Linked DNA regions of Callithrix jacchus. The protein of the gene in region 2 interacts with the protein of the main gene of each other region in a biochemical or structural test. Links are inferred from orthologs where the notes say so. Each region holds a gene or a part of one and is shown on either strand. Other genes may lie near its edges.

Region 1 (3,652 bases), on a different chromosome or scaffold from region 2:
CTGATTTCTACTTTAACTAAGTAGGAGTTAGCCAGAGAGATAAGTAGAGAAGAGGTTTACAACAAAGAATACTTCAAGTGCAAAGACATAGAGGTTTTTCATTGGGTATTACAACGTGTATTTTAGGGATGGGGAAATTGAGGCCCACAGAAGGGAAGAAGATACTTCCCCAAGGTCACACAGTAAATTGGTGTCAGAGCTAAGATTAGGAGTTTCGTTTTTAGTCTCCCAGTCCAATGTGCTCTCCATTAATACCCAAGTACTAAAAATTGGTACTTTTCATATAAATTACCTCATTTGATTTACAAATGAGACAAGTATTAACATCCCTATTTTAAAAATGAGAAAAATAAAGTTTAGAGGACAGTAGAAAATTGCCCAAGACACAAGTCAGTGGCTGGGCAGAAGCTTCAACTCAAGTGTCCTACCTCCCAGACCAAGTCTGTTTTCCATAATTCTAGGTATTATTGTTAAAAAAAAAAAATTCTAGTTTAGAGAACAAGACTATATACAGGAGTAACTAGATAACTAGACAAGTGGCTTTTCTTACTTTGTCATTTTATGAGGGATCCAGAAAAGGGCAATTTTTAAAATAGTGAAAATTTTTTTTAAAGTCACACGGGAATTAATCAGGAAGAACTAGAGAACCAGAAACCTTGGCTTTGGAAAGCAATGCCAGTTTGCAAATGTCACCAAATCAGTCACATCAAATCCTCTTTGGAAGTAAGTAGATACAGTGAATAAATTAAAGCCCTTGTCAAATGATTCTTCCAAGCCCACAGATCAACCTAGTTCTTCCTTCTAATATGAATTCTTTTGCAGTTTATACAGAAGTAAGCTACCCTAACATACCCCCATTTCTGGCAGCTAAAGAAAGTAAAATGGAAGTTTCCACTTGACAGCAAGTACATGCTCTACTTACAGGAACAAAAACTTATGTTCTAACCTTAGCCCTGTCACTTTTTAGCTGTGTGATTTTGGCCAGGATGTTTAGCCTCCCTGAGCCTCAAGTATCTTAATTACAAAAATTAGGACCATAATGCTTTTCTTCACAGGGTTAACAAGAGAATTAAATTTTTAAAAGTCAAGAAAATATTTTGCTCGTCATTTGATACATACTACAGGTTCATAAAATGTTAACTTCCCTTCCCTCTTTTCCTACAACCAAGATGGCAGATCTGTCTTCTCCTAGGTCAATGGCAAAACATCAATAATCAATCAGAGTGCCCTTTTCCACTAGGTCCTCAGTCTTTCTCAACATGGCATTCTAGACTATTCATTAGAGAAAAACTATTTGTTATCTCTATAATCCATGCCTAGGGGCAAAGGGTGCCCTACCCTCGAAGTGAGCTATTCACACTCTCTCCCACCACATCTTCATTCTAACATAGTATCCAACCAGGGCTGTAAGACATGGAAGGAAGGTGCAGGGGCAGGGTAAGAAGCAGTCTGTGGCTAAGGTACCAAGCATGGCCAGACAGCCACATGGACAAAGCCTAAAACCAAGAATCTCATCTCTGTGCTTGACCAGTCATGGAGCAAAGAAAGGTTCAGAAAGCTACAAATTCCTTACGTAATTTCTCCAAGATCTCCTCATCAGACATTTTAGGCTTCTTCTTCTGCTTCTCAGTATTCCGGGTCAAAGCATCTGGTGGAGTGGTGTTATTTTCAGTAGGTGAAATGGGAGATGTAGCCACGTCCCGAGTTGGAGTGACAGGAAGTGGTTCAATCACAGAGCGTGTGTATACCTGCATTATTAGTGCAAAATTTTGGCAAGGCCAGCCTTTGTTAGCATAGGGGAACCTCTCCTAGATGTGAGGTTAGAACATCCACAGAACAAATCCCAATAAACTCATCCTTTCTCCTATGTCCAAATTTATATTACGCCTCCTCTGTGCCCAGGCCCATCCATTCTGGGTAAAACGGCCTTCCTTGCTCTCCCTGTACACAATAGAAGTGAGAATCTCAGCACTAAAGATATTCAATAGAGGCTAGACAACTATCAAAAGAAATTAGTTAAAGACAATTTTATTAGATAAGTATCCCCTTCATCTGTAACATTTTATGCATCCCCAAGCTAAAAGAAATACCCTGTATTCCCAGAGCACTTTGCATTAGTAGCACAACACCAACTTCTATTGAGTTACTCCCTCCTTACATCCTGAACCCTTGCAGGGAAGGAACTACTTTTGTTCTTCATCAAGAGGCAGTACAGTGTGGTAATTTAGAACACAGACTCTGGAACCTGACTGCCTGAACTTAAACCCCAACTCTTTATTTTTACCTTCTACATGACTTTGGGCAGATTACTTAACTTCACTGTGCTTCACTATCCTCATCTATAAAGTGGTGATAATAATGACACCTATTTTATGGGGTTGCTATAGGAGTAAACTGATTAATATGTGAGGTAATCAGAATCATCCCTAGCAGACATTAAGCACTCAAATTTTATCTTTCAAAAATATTAAATGTTCTATTCATCATTTACATAACAAACATTTACTGGGAATCTACTTGTCTCACCTTGTATAAAATGCTACTCCATCCTCTCATTCTTATAAAGGAGGTGAGAAAATCATAAGTACAAGAAAGGGATAAATGTCATAAAGAAATGAGCAAGCTATATACTACTGAGGTTCAGAAATGATTGTTAAGTTATGCTTCCTTTCTCTAGGGGATGCTTCAAGGTATTTATCAGATTTTATCATAAAAATATCACAATTATTGTTTGCATAGTCTATAAGCTGTATAAGGACAGGGAATGTGGGTCATTCATCCCTGAGTTCCTCCACCTAACCACTTAACAAAAAAGCAAGGATTCAGGTAAATATTTGGTGGAATAAATGAATAAACAGGATCCTTCAGCAGGATCCTGAAAGATGGATAGGCTTCTACAAAGAACAGAGGATGATTTATCTATGATGATCATTTATCTGCAAAGATGCAAAGCCATTGGCAGCAGCAGGACTCAAACCCACGGCTCCACAGACACTAAAACCTACTAAATCCTGCACCTTGGACTGCTTGACCACGCTACCTTTTGACTGGATGGGCTTTTAATAGGTGGAAATGGGAGAGAACTTTCCATGTAGTGGGAACAGCAATAAGCCAAGACACTAAGATCAGAGGCAATGGCTTCTTTCCTGATTACTACTCTAGTATAATGATTGCTCAATTTTCTATTCTTGTACCTGTAGACAAACTATATCCCAGGCACCTAAACCTATACTTTCATGCCTTGACCTCTTTTGCCTGTCCTGATATGTCTCTTTGAAGACAGCTTGCCTTTTCCTTCTCTAATAGTCTCCTTCTCTGGCTTCTAGCACAGGTTTACACATACAAAAATACCACTGTGCTATGATGCAAAACAACCTGGAGTTGGGGGTAATTACCTGCTTTCAAATCCTGGCTCTTTAGTTTACTAAGAGACTGGGCAGATCAATTCACCTCTCCAAATCTCAGCTGCTTCTTATATAAATTAGGAATTAACAATACCTTTTTAGAAAGAAATGCTATGAAGATTGAATTTATCAATCTATTCATTCATTCAATATTTACTGCCCTCTGATATTTACCCACCTCTGCAGGTGCCAAGAACTATGTTAAGCACTAGAAATAAACACATATGGATATCCTCTACTTTTTGAGG
Region 2 (3,752 bases):
TTCAGCGTTTTTAGCTTAAAGGAAATCCAAATAATGTTAAATGTTCTTAAGAAAAGGTGGGCCAGGTGCCATGGCTCACTCCTGTAATCCCAGCACTTTGGGAGGATAAGGCAGGCAGATCACTTGAGTCAGGAATTCAAAATCACCCTGGCCAACATGGTGAAACCTCATCTCTACTAAAAATACAAAAACTAGCCAGTCGTGGTGGCAGGCACCTGTAATCCCAGCTACTCGGGAGGCTAAGAATCGCTTGAGCGGGTGAAGTGGAGGTTGCAGTGAGCCAAGATGGCACAACTGCACTCCAACCTGTGTAACACTGAGAGACCCTGTCTCGAAAATTTTTTTTTAAATGAAACAATTCACTGATGTCACTATCAATCAATTGACTGAACACTTTTCCCAAATAAAAAAGTAAAGCCCAGCCAGGCACAATGGCTCATGCCTGTAATCCCAGCACTTTGGGAGGCTGAGGCAGGAGGATCACAAGGTCAGGAGGTCAAAACCAGCCTGGCCAATATGGCGAAACCCCATCTCTACTAAAATTACAAAAACCGGCCAAGCATGGTGGCACGTGCCTGTAATCCCAGCTGCTAGGGGGGCCGAGGCAGGAGGACCACTTTAACCTGGGAGGCAGAGGGTGCAGTGAGCAGAGATCACACTGCTGCACTCTAGCCTGGACAACGGAGTGAGACTCCGAGTCAAAAAAAAAAAAAAAGCTTGAACAGCATACGTACTCTAACTGAAAGTTACAATTTTTAGTTATCATATAAACATAAAATTATGAGGCGTTAATAATCCTTCACACTTGCAAGACAAATCCGACAGATGGGCCTCTCACAAAAATCAGTTGTCTAATTATCCTCTTGCATCTGAATTGCAAGAAGGATAACTGAAACAATTGCAAATGTCTTAACAGTATAATTATCTAAATACACTGAGAATCCATGAATTGACGTAGAGGCATAAAACCAAAACCTAATGACAAATTCGAAGAATATCAACCAAGTTAACCTTGATGCCCTAACTTTCCTTCGACTTTACTCGAACATGTACCAGTTGCATTCTGAGTTTGACGAAACTGTTAGTAATTCTTCCTTGCTAACACTAACCTATACAAGCGACGCCTGAGACGCGCGATTTTGCTCGGGTTACACTGAGATTTTTGTTTCTATGGGAGAAAAAAACGGCATAAAACAAGTCTTGTCCTTCTCGAGGGCCTGTAACCAACACGGACAGTCATGAAAAGCAACGCCTGGAGTCACAGGAGCCAGTTCTGCTACATCCCATACCCAACGCGTTAAGCAAGAAAGTTTTTTTTTTTTTTCAATGACCACACCACGTTTAAAAAAATAAAATAAAATAAAGAAAGATAAAAGAACAGTCCCCATCACAGATGGCTCCTGCCAGGGAGCATCTTAAAAACTTTATCCTCGGAAAGGGAGAAAGCATTAATTTTAGGAATCCTAACAGTGGCAGAAGTGTAAGTCGAAAAAACCTGCTCAAAAATCAGTTTGGGGGCCGGGCGCGGTGTCAACCCAGCGCTTTTGGAGGCTGACAGGCAGGAGGTTCGCCTGATCCCAGCCAGGAATTCGAAACCAGCCTGGGAAATACAGTGAGACCCCATTTCTACAAAAAGTTTTAAAAATTAGCCAGGCGTAGGCGCCTGTAATCCCAGCATTTTGAGAGGCTGGGATGGGAGAATCGCTTGAACCCAGGAGGAGTTCAAGACCAGCTTGGGCAACACAGCGAGACTCCGTCTCTGCAAAAAAAAAAAAAAAATTTTTAAAGAAAACTTTGGGGCACTAAAGCGGCCAGTTCAATCGGGCACGCATCAAATATGATCGACTCAACCGCCGGGTTCCCAACACAGCTCTCGAGGTCCAGGGATCGAGAGGTTCAAGCAAAAAAACAAGAGAGGGTCCCTTTTTGGAAAAACGGTAAAAATCTCCAAGAGCGCTTCCTCTACGAGGGCTCCCGGGGAGGGCGGCGGGCGGCGGGCGGCGTCCGGGAAGAAAGCCGGAGGGTGGAGTTCACTTTTTCCACCGGCCGGCGAGTGGCGAAGCCCTCCCCCAGCGAGAGCCGGAACCAGGCACGCGCCGCCCGGGCAGCCGGCGCCCGCGGCCCCCGCCCCGTGCCCCACAGGCCCAGGCCCACCGCCTACGCGAGCCCGCCAGGGATCCCGGCCTGCCTGGGCCCCAATCCCGGCCCGCCCCCCGCCCGCGCCCACCCCGGCCCGCGCCCGCCCCCGCGGCCCCCAGCCCAGACCCGGCAACGCACTTACCCGTCTCCCACCACCACACACTTGATGGCCTGCATCTGGGCCGCTCGCTGGGCCGCGGCGGCAGCGGCACGGCGCTGAAACGGGAAGCGGCGGGCTCGGGGCGCGGCGGACGGGCGCGCGGCTTGAGGACGGCAGGGCGCTGGATGCCGGGGCCGCTGTCCACGCCGCCTCGCCCTCCGCGGACTGGAAGCCGAAGCCCGGCAGCGGCCACCACCCAAAGCTGGGGAAAACTGCAGAGAAACAGGAAATGGCCGCTCCACTCACATCCGGCCTCCCCTCCCCCGCGCCGGCGCCGCCGCTCCCAGGTTCCGGGTGGGGCAGCTCCCGCCCGCGCGGTTCCCGGAGTTCCTCTGGGCTTCAGGAACGCTCGGAAGTGCTCGGGCCCGCTTGTCTCCGCCCACGGGGCGCGGCGGCTGCCATCTTTGCGCGCTAACGCGGCATAGGCGTGGCGGGATCTGCGGGTCCTTTCTCTGGGGTTCAGTGCGCGGTGGCTCAAGCCTGTAATCACAGCACTTTGGGAGGCCGAGACGGGTGGATCACGAGGTCAAGAGATCGAGACCATCCTGGTCAACAAGGTGAAACCCCGTCTCTACTACAAATACAAAAAAATTAGCTGGGCATGGTGGCGTGTGCCTGTAATCCCAGTTACTCATGAGGCTGGGGCAGAATTGCCTGAACCCAGGAGGCGGAGGTTGCGGTGAGCCGAGATCGCGCCATTTGCACTCCAGCCTGGGTAACAAGAGCGAAACTCCGTCTTAAAAAAAGGAAAGAAAAACCTGTAGTAGCTGGGCGCGGTTGCTCATGCCTGTAAACCTGACACTTTGGAAGGCCGAAGTGGATTACAAGGTCAGCATTTCGAGACCAGCGTCCGGGAAGAAACGAACGCTGGTGAAAACCCGTCCCTACTAAAAAAAATACAAAAATTAGGCCGGGCGCGGTGGCTCATGCCTGTAATCCCAGCACTTTGTGAGGCCCGAGATAGGCATGGGAGGCCTAGGCGGGCGGGAGGCCCGAAAATACGGATGGGAGGGCGAGGCGGGCTGGTGGCCCGAGATAGGGAGTTCGAGACCAGCCTGACCAACATGGAGAAACCCCGTCTCTACTAAAAATACAAAATTAGCCGGGCGTGATGGCACATGCGTGTAATCCCAGCTACTTGGGAGGCTGAGGCATGGGTATCGCTTGAACCCAGGAGGCGGAAGTTGTGGTGAGCTGAGACCGCCCCATTGCACGCTAAACAGGAGCGAAACTTCGTCTCAAAAAAAAAATTAGCCGGGCGTGGTGGCAGGTGCCTGTAATCCCAGCTACTCAGGAGGCTGAGGCAGAGAATGGCTTGAACCTGGGAGGCGGAGGTTGCAGTGAGCTGAAATCGTGCTACTGAACTCCAGCCTGGGCTACAGATTGAGATTCCATCTTAAAAAAAAAAAAAAAAAAGAGGAACCTGTGGTTGCAGGAGCCAAGCTCCCTGTTG
Region 3 (3,234 bases), on a different chromosome or scaffold from region 2:
CCTTAATCTAAGAGCCAGGTTGTAATGACAAAAGTCAGTTACCAGCAATGCACGTGCAGGTAACTATCAAAGAAGTTGTAACTATAAATCCCAAACTGCTTCTACCAATTAAAAAGCCCTTTGCTGAGTCACAAGCCTAAAACAAGGCATTGGCACAGTCAACGAATATGGTCTTTGACTTAGGATGGAAGTGTCTTTGAGTGCATGACGGTCACAGTCTTATCATCTAGGTGGTTTTCTATTTCATTGGTAGCATCTTCTTTATCATAATCCATCCAACCATTTATGAAGAATGTTAAAATGTGAAACTCCAGTGGCACTGCAGCTTTCTACCAGAAAAACCAGTTTCTGTAATTCAGTAATAGCTGTTGAAGGCCAATATAGTCCAGAGAGAAATGAAATCAAGAATTATATTGAAAACAGAGACCATTAAGTGCTCTAAATATGTTTCATTAATTATTTTACTCATTTTTCTGAAAACTTTCCTGCTTTATCAATATAAAACAGTCACTTCTCTCCTTATAATTGTATATTAACATAGAGTGGGAATAAAATAATGGAAATAAAACCCTGCTGGTTTCCCCAATGTACACACAACAGCAAAATTATTTTTATTCATGATTTGTACGACTGCAGGGTGGCAAGCAAGGGTGAAGTCAATGGGGGGAACAAAATGCCAGAACCAAACCACAGATATTTGAACAATACCTGCTCCAAAAGCAAAACAACAAATAAAGGAGAGGAGAGGAGAGAGGGAGGGGATGGGAGGGGAGGAGAGAAGAGAGGGCACTCAAATAATTAATGCTACAGGTCTCAGACCTTTCAGAATCTTTAAAAGAAAAAAATTATTGCTATTAACATGCACATATCATTTTTCTTTCTCCAGTTTTTTACATTAATATTCTCTACTTATTTGAAAAGAAAAAACAAAACTAAAATAACTCAACATCTCAAATGATCTATAAATTCACCAAGAAATACTCTGTCACAGAAGCTCTCAAAGATAGTAAAACACTGATAATGATCTGGGACAATGAGACTTCCACAAGAGTCTGTGGTTGATTGGTTATCAGCTGGCTCCTCTGCAACACTAACATTTCTCTTTCATGAATATAATCTTGTCTCACTATATCAAAGCTCACCGAGGTTCCCGTCTGTCACTCTGCCTCTGCTAGTCCCAAATATTTTTCTCCTTTGAATGGGGGGGAGGGGAAAGCTAATTTTAAATTCTGAAAATTCACTGGTTATTGTATTATTTGCCCTGGGAGGGGGGTATGTGTGAGGCGAGAGAGGATTAATGAAAAACAGAAAGAACAAACCTAAACCTAAAATTGCAACATATACAGAAATTTATTTCCAAAATGAAGGGGAAAAAGGAGAGAAGAGGAAGGTAGTGGCACTAACCAAAGTCATAAAGCCCAGGTTGGAACAAGAACAAATCACTTTGGCTCCTAGAGCCAAACCTGAAGAGAAAACAGGCAGAAGGGAAGACAAAATTGGAAGAATTCTATAGTCAATGGGAATCTTTTTCTATCTCAATGATTTAGTTATAAATATAGATTATTAGTCTTCTCTCTATACATGTAACAAATGCCAAACTTAATACCACAAAATTTCTAAAACTGGCTTCTTCACATTTGTTAAAAAAGGTAAAAATCACATACTTTTCTTCCCTTCCTTCAGGTCAAGTTCTGAACTAAAATATTACATGTAACAACAGCTGGTCCTAACTTTTACACAAAGTGAAACTATATAGAGCTCCTTTGCCAACATAAGGAGCTACATAATTTCTATTACACTTGCCTAGGCATGAGAAACTCAAAAGCAGGAAATTAAGGAAAAGGAAAGCTATGAAGGAGAGAAAGAGTAGCAGATGGAACAAATACTCTGAAAAACTCGAATCTGCCATTCAAGTATTAGAAATACCCCAAATGGGACAATGAATGGGATCTATTACAACAAAGTCAGCAAAGTAAAACGCAAATCTCACTCATGATAAATGGCTCTGATAGGCTGTTTGCTGAAAGACCTAAGGCTAGTGATTCAGTCCACAATTCCTTCTGGACCCTCAAGAAGGGGTTCACATGGAAGTCATAATTTTCTTTTTGCAATTTTCTCTTGGTTGTCTTCAGAGAATAGTCATTTGCTTCTTTCATCCAGGTTATGCAGACCATTTCTTTAAACCCCAGAAAGAGTAATAATTTTCATATACTAAAAGGCTTCTTTTAGAAAAGGGAAAAAAGAATATGCAGCCACAGCAGTGATGTTAACGGTTACTCTTCATTGCTTCTTTAGCTGCCATGATCAATGGTGTCAAGCTAGACAGTGGTTTGGCCAGTTTCAGGAAAGGATGCTGCCAGAAAGAAGGGGAAAAATAAATGTATAAGTGCCATTCATCAGGTCAGAAACAATTCTGTTCAATTAAGCCCCAAACACTACTTGTCTATCATAATTTATTTAATAAACTAAACACATATTTCAATACCTTCATAAGACTAACATAATCAATACATTACTTTTAGAGTTGAATAAAAGCAGAATCATTTTAGTCTGACAAATATACATATGCCAGCAATAAACAGGTCTGAGAATTGATAATATGCACAAACTGCACATTATGTTATTGTCAGAATTTTATTCCCAGCAGAAGAAACCCTAAATTGTGGCAGCTGCCATACTGCTGGTGATCAGTGAATAGTGAAATCTAATTATTAGCCCTAGGAAAATGTTCTGTTGGTTACCAAAAAAGTCAACTATTCCACAAAATCAAATCCTTTTAAAATTTACCTGTAATAATTCTTTGGCTGAACCCCTTTTTTCCACATCCATTTCCAAACATCGATTTAAGAAATCCCGAAATATTGGGGAAAGTTTTTCTGGATTCTGAAGTTCTGGGGTTCCATTAGTTGCTATTAGGTACAAGGCCTAAATAAAAAAGAACATCTTTGACATACTTAAGACAGCTCAACAAAGTCATAGAGCACTCTATAAAGTTTATGGACCTCTTTCTTCTTTAAAGATCTCCATAAATACTAAACTGGGGTTATCATTATCGCATTTAAATTTAGATTTGATACTTTCCTCTTCCTGAAGTTGTTTTTCCAAAATCAGATTCACCTTTTTTTTTGGTTATAAATGCAATACACATTGCTTTTGTTTTATTGAGACAGAGTCTTACTCTGTCACACAGGCTGGAGTGCAGTGGTGCAATCTTGACTCACTGCAACCTCTGCC

What was found.
Region 1: the proteins of RAC1 (region 2) and PAK1 form a complex in vitro, tested with the Homo sapiens proteins (17 studies listed by BioGRID and IntAct). The link is inferred for Callithrix jacchus from reciprocal best matches to the Homo sapiens genes RAC1 and PAK1.
Region 3: the proteins of RAC1 (region 2) and PAK2 form a complex in vitro, tested with the Homo sapiens proteins (2 studies listed by BioGRID and IntAct). The link is inferred for Callithrix jacchus from reciprocal best matches to the Homo sapiens genes RAC1 and PAK2.

What each region holds. Positions count from the first base shown.
Region 1 is NC_133511.1:63,592,325-63,595,976, reverse strand, and holds part of PAK1 (serine/threonine-protein kinase PAK 1), read right to left. Parts: intron 1,749-3,652; coding exon 1,574-1,748; intron 1-1,573. UniProt on the Homo sapiens protein: Protein kinase involved in intracellular signaling pathways downstream of integrins and receptor-type kinases that plays an important role in cytoskeleton dynamics, in cell adhesion, migration, proliferation, apoptosis, mitosis, and in vesicle-mediated transport processes.
Region 2 is NC_133503.1:16,113,365-16,117,116, reverse strand, and holds the start of RAC1 (ras-related C3 botulinum toxin substrate 1), read right to left. Parts: upstream 2,524-3,752; 5' UTR 2,317-2,523; coding exon 2,282-2,316; intron 1-2,281. UniProt on the Homo sapiens protein: Plasma membrane-associated small GTPase which cycles between active GTP-bound and inactive GDP-bound states.
Region 3 is NC_133516.1:25,312,621-25,315,854, forward strand, and holds the end of PAK2 (serine/threonine-protein kinase PAK 2), read right to left. Parts: intron 2,926-3,234; coding exon 2,788-2,925; intron 2,354-2,787; coding exon 2,267-2,353; 3' UTR 591-2,266; downstream 1-590. UniProt on the Homo sapiens protein: Serine/threonine protein kinase that plays a role in a variety of different signaling pathways including cytoskeleton regulation, cell motility, cell cycle progression, apoptosis or proliferation.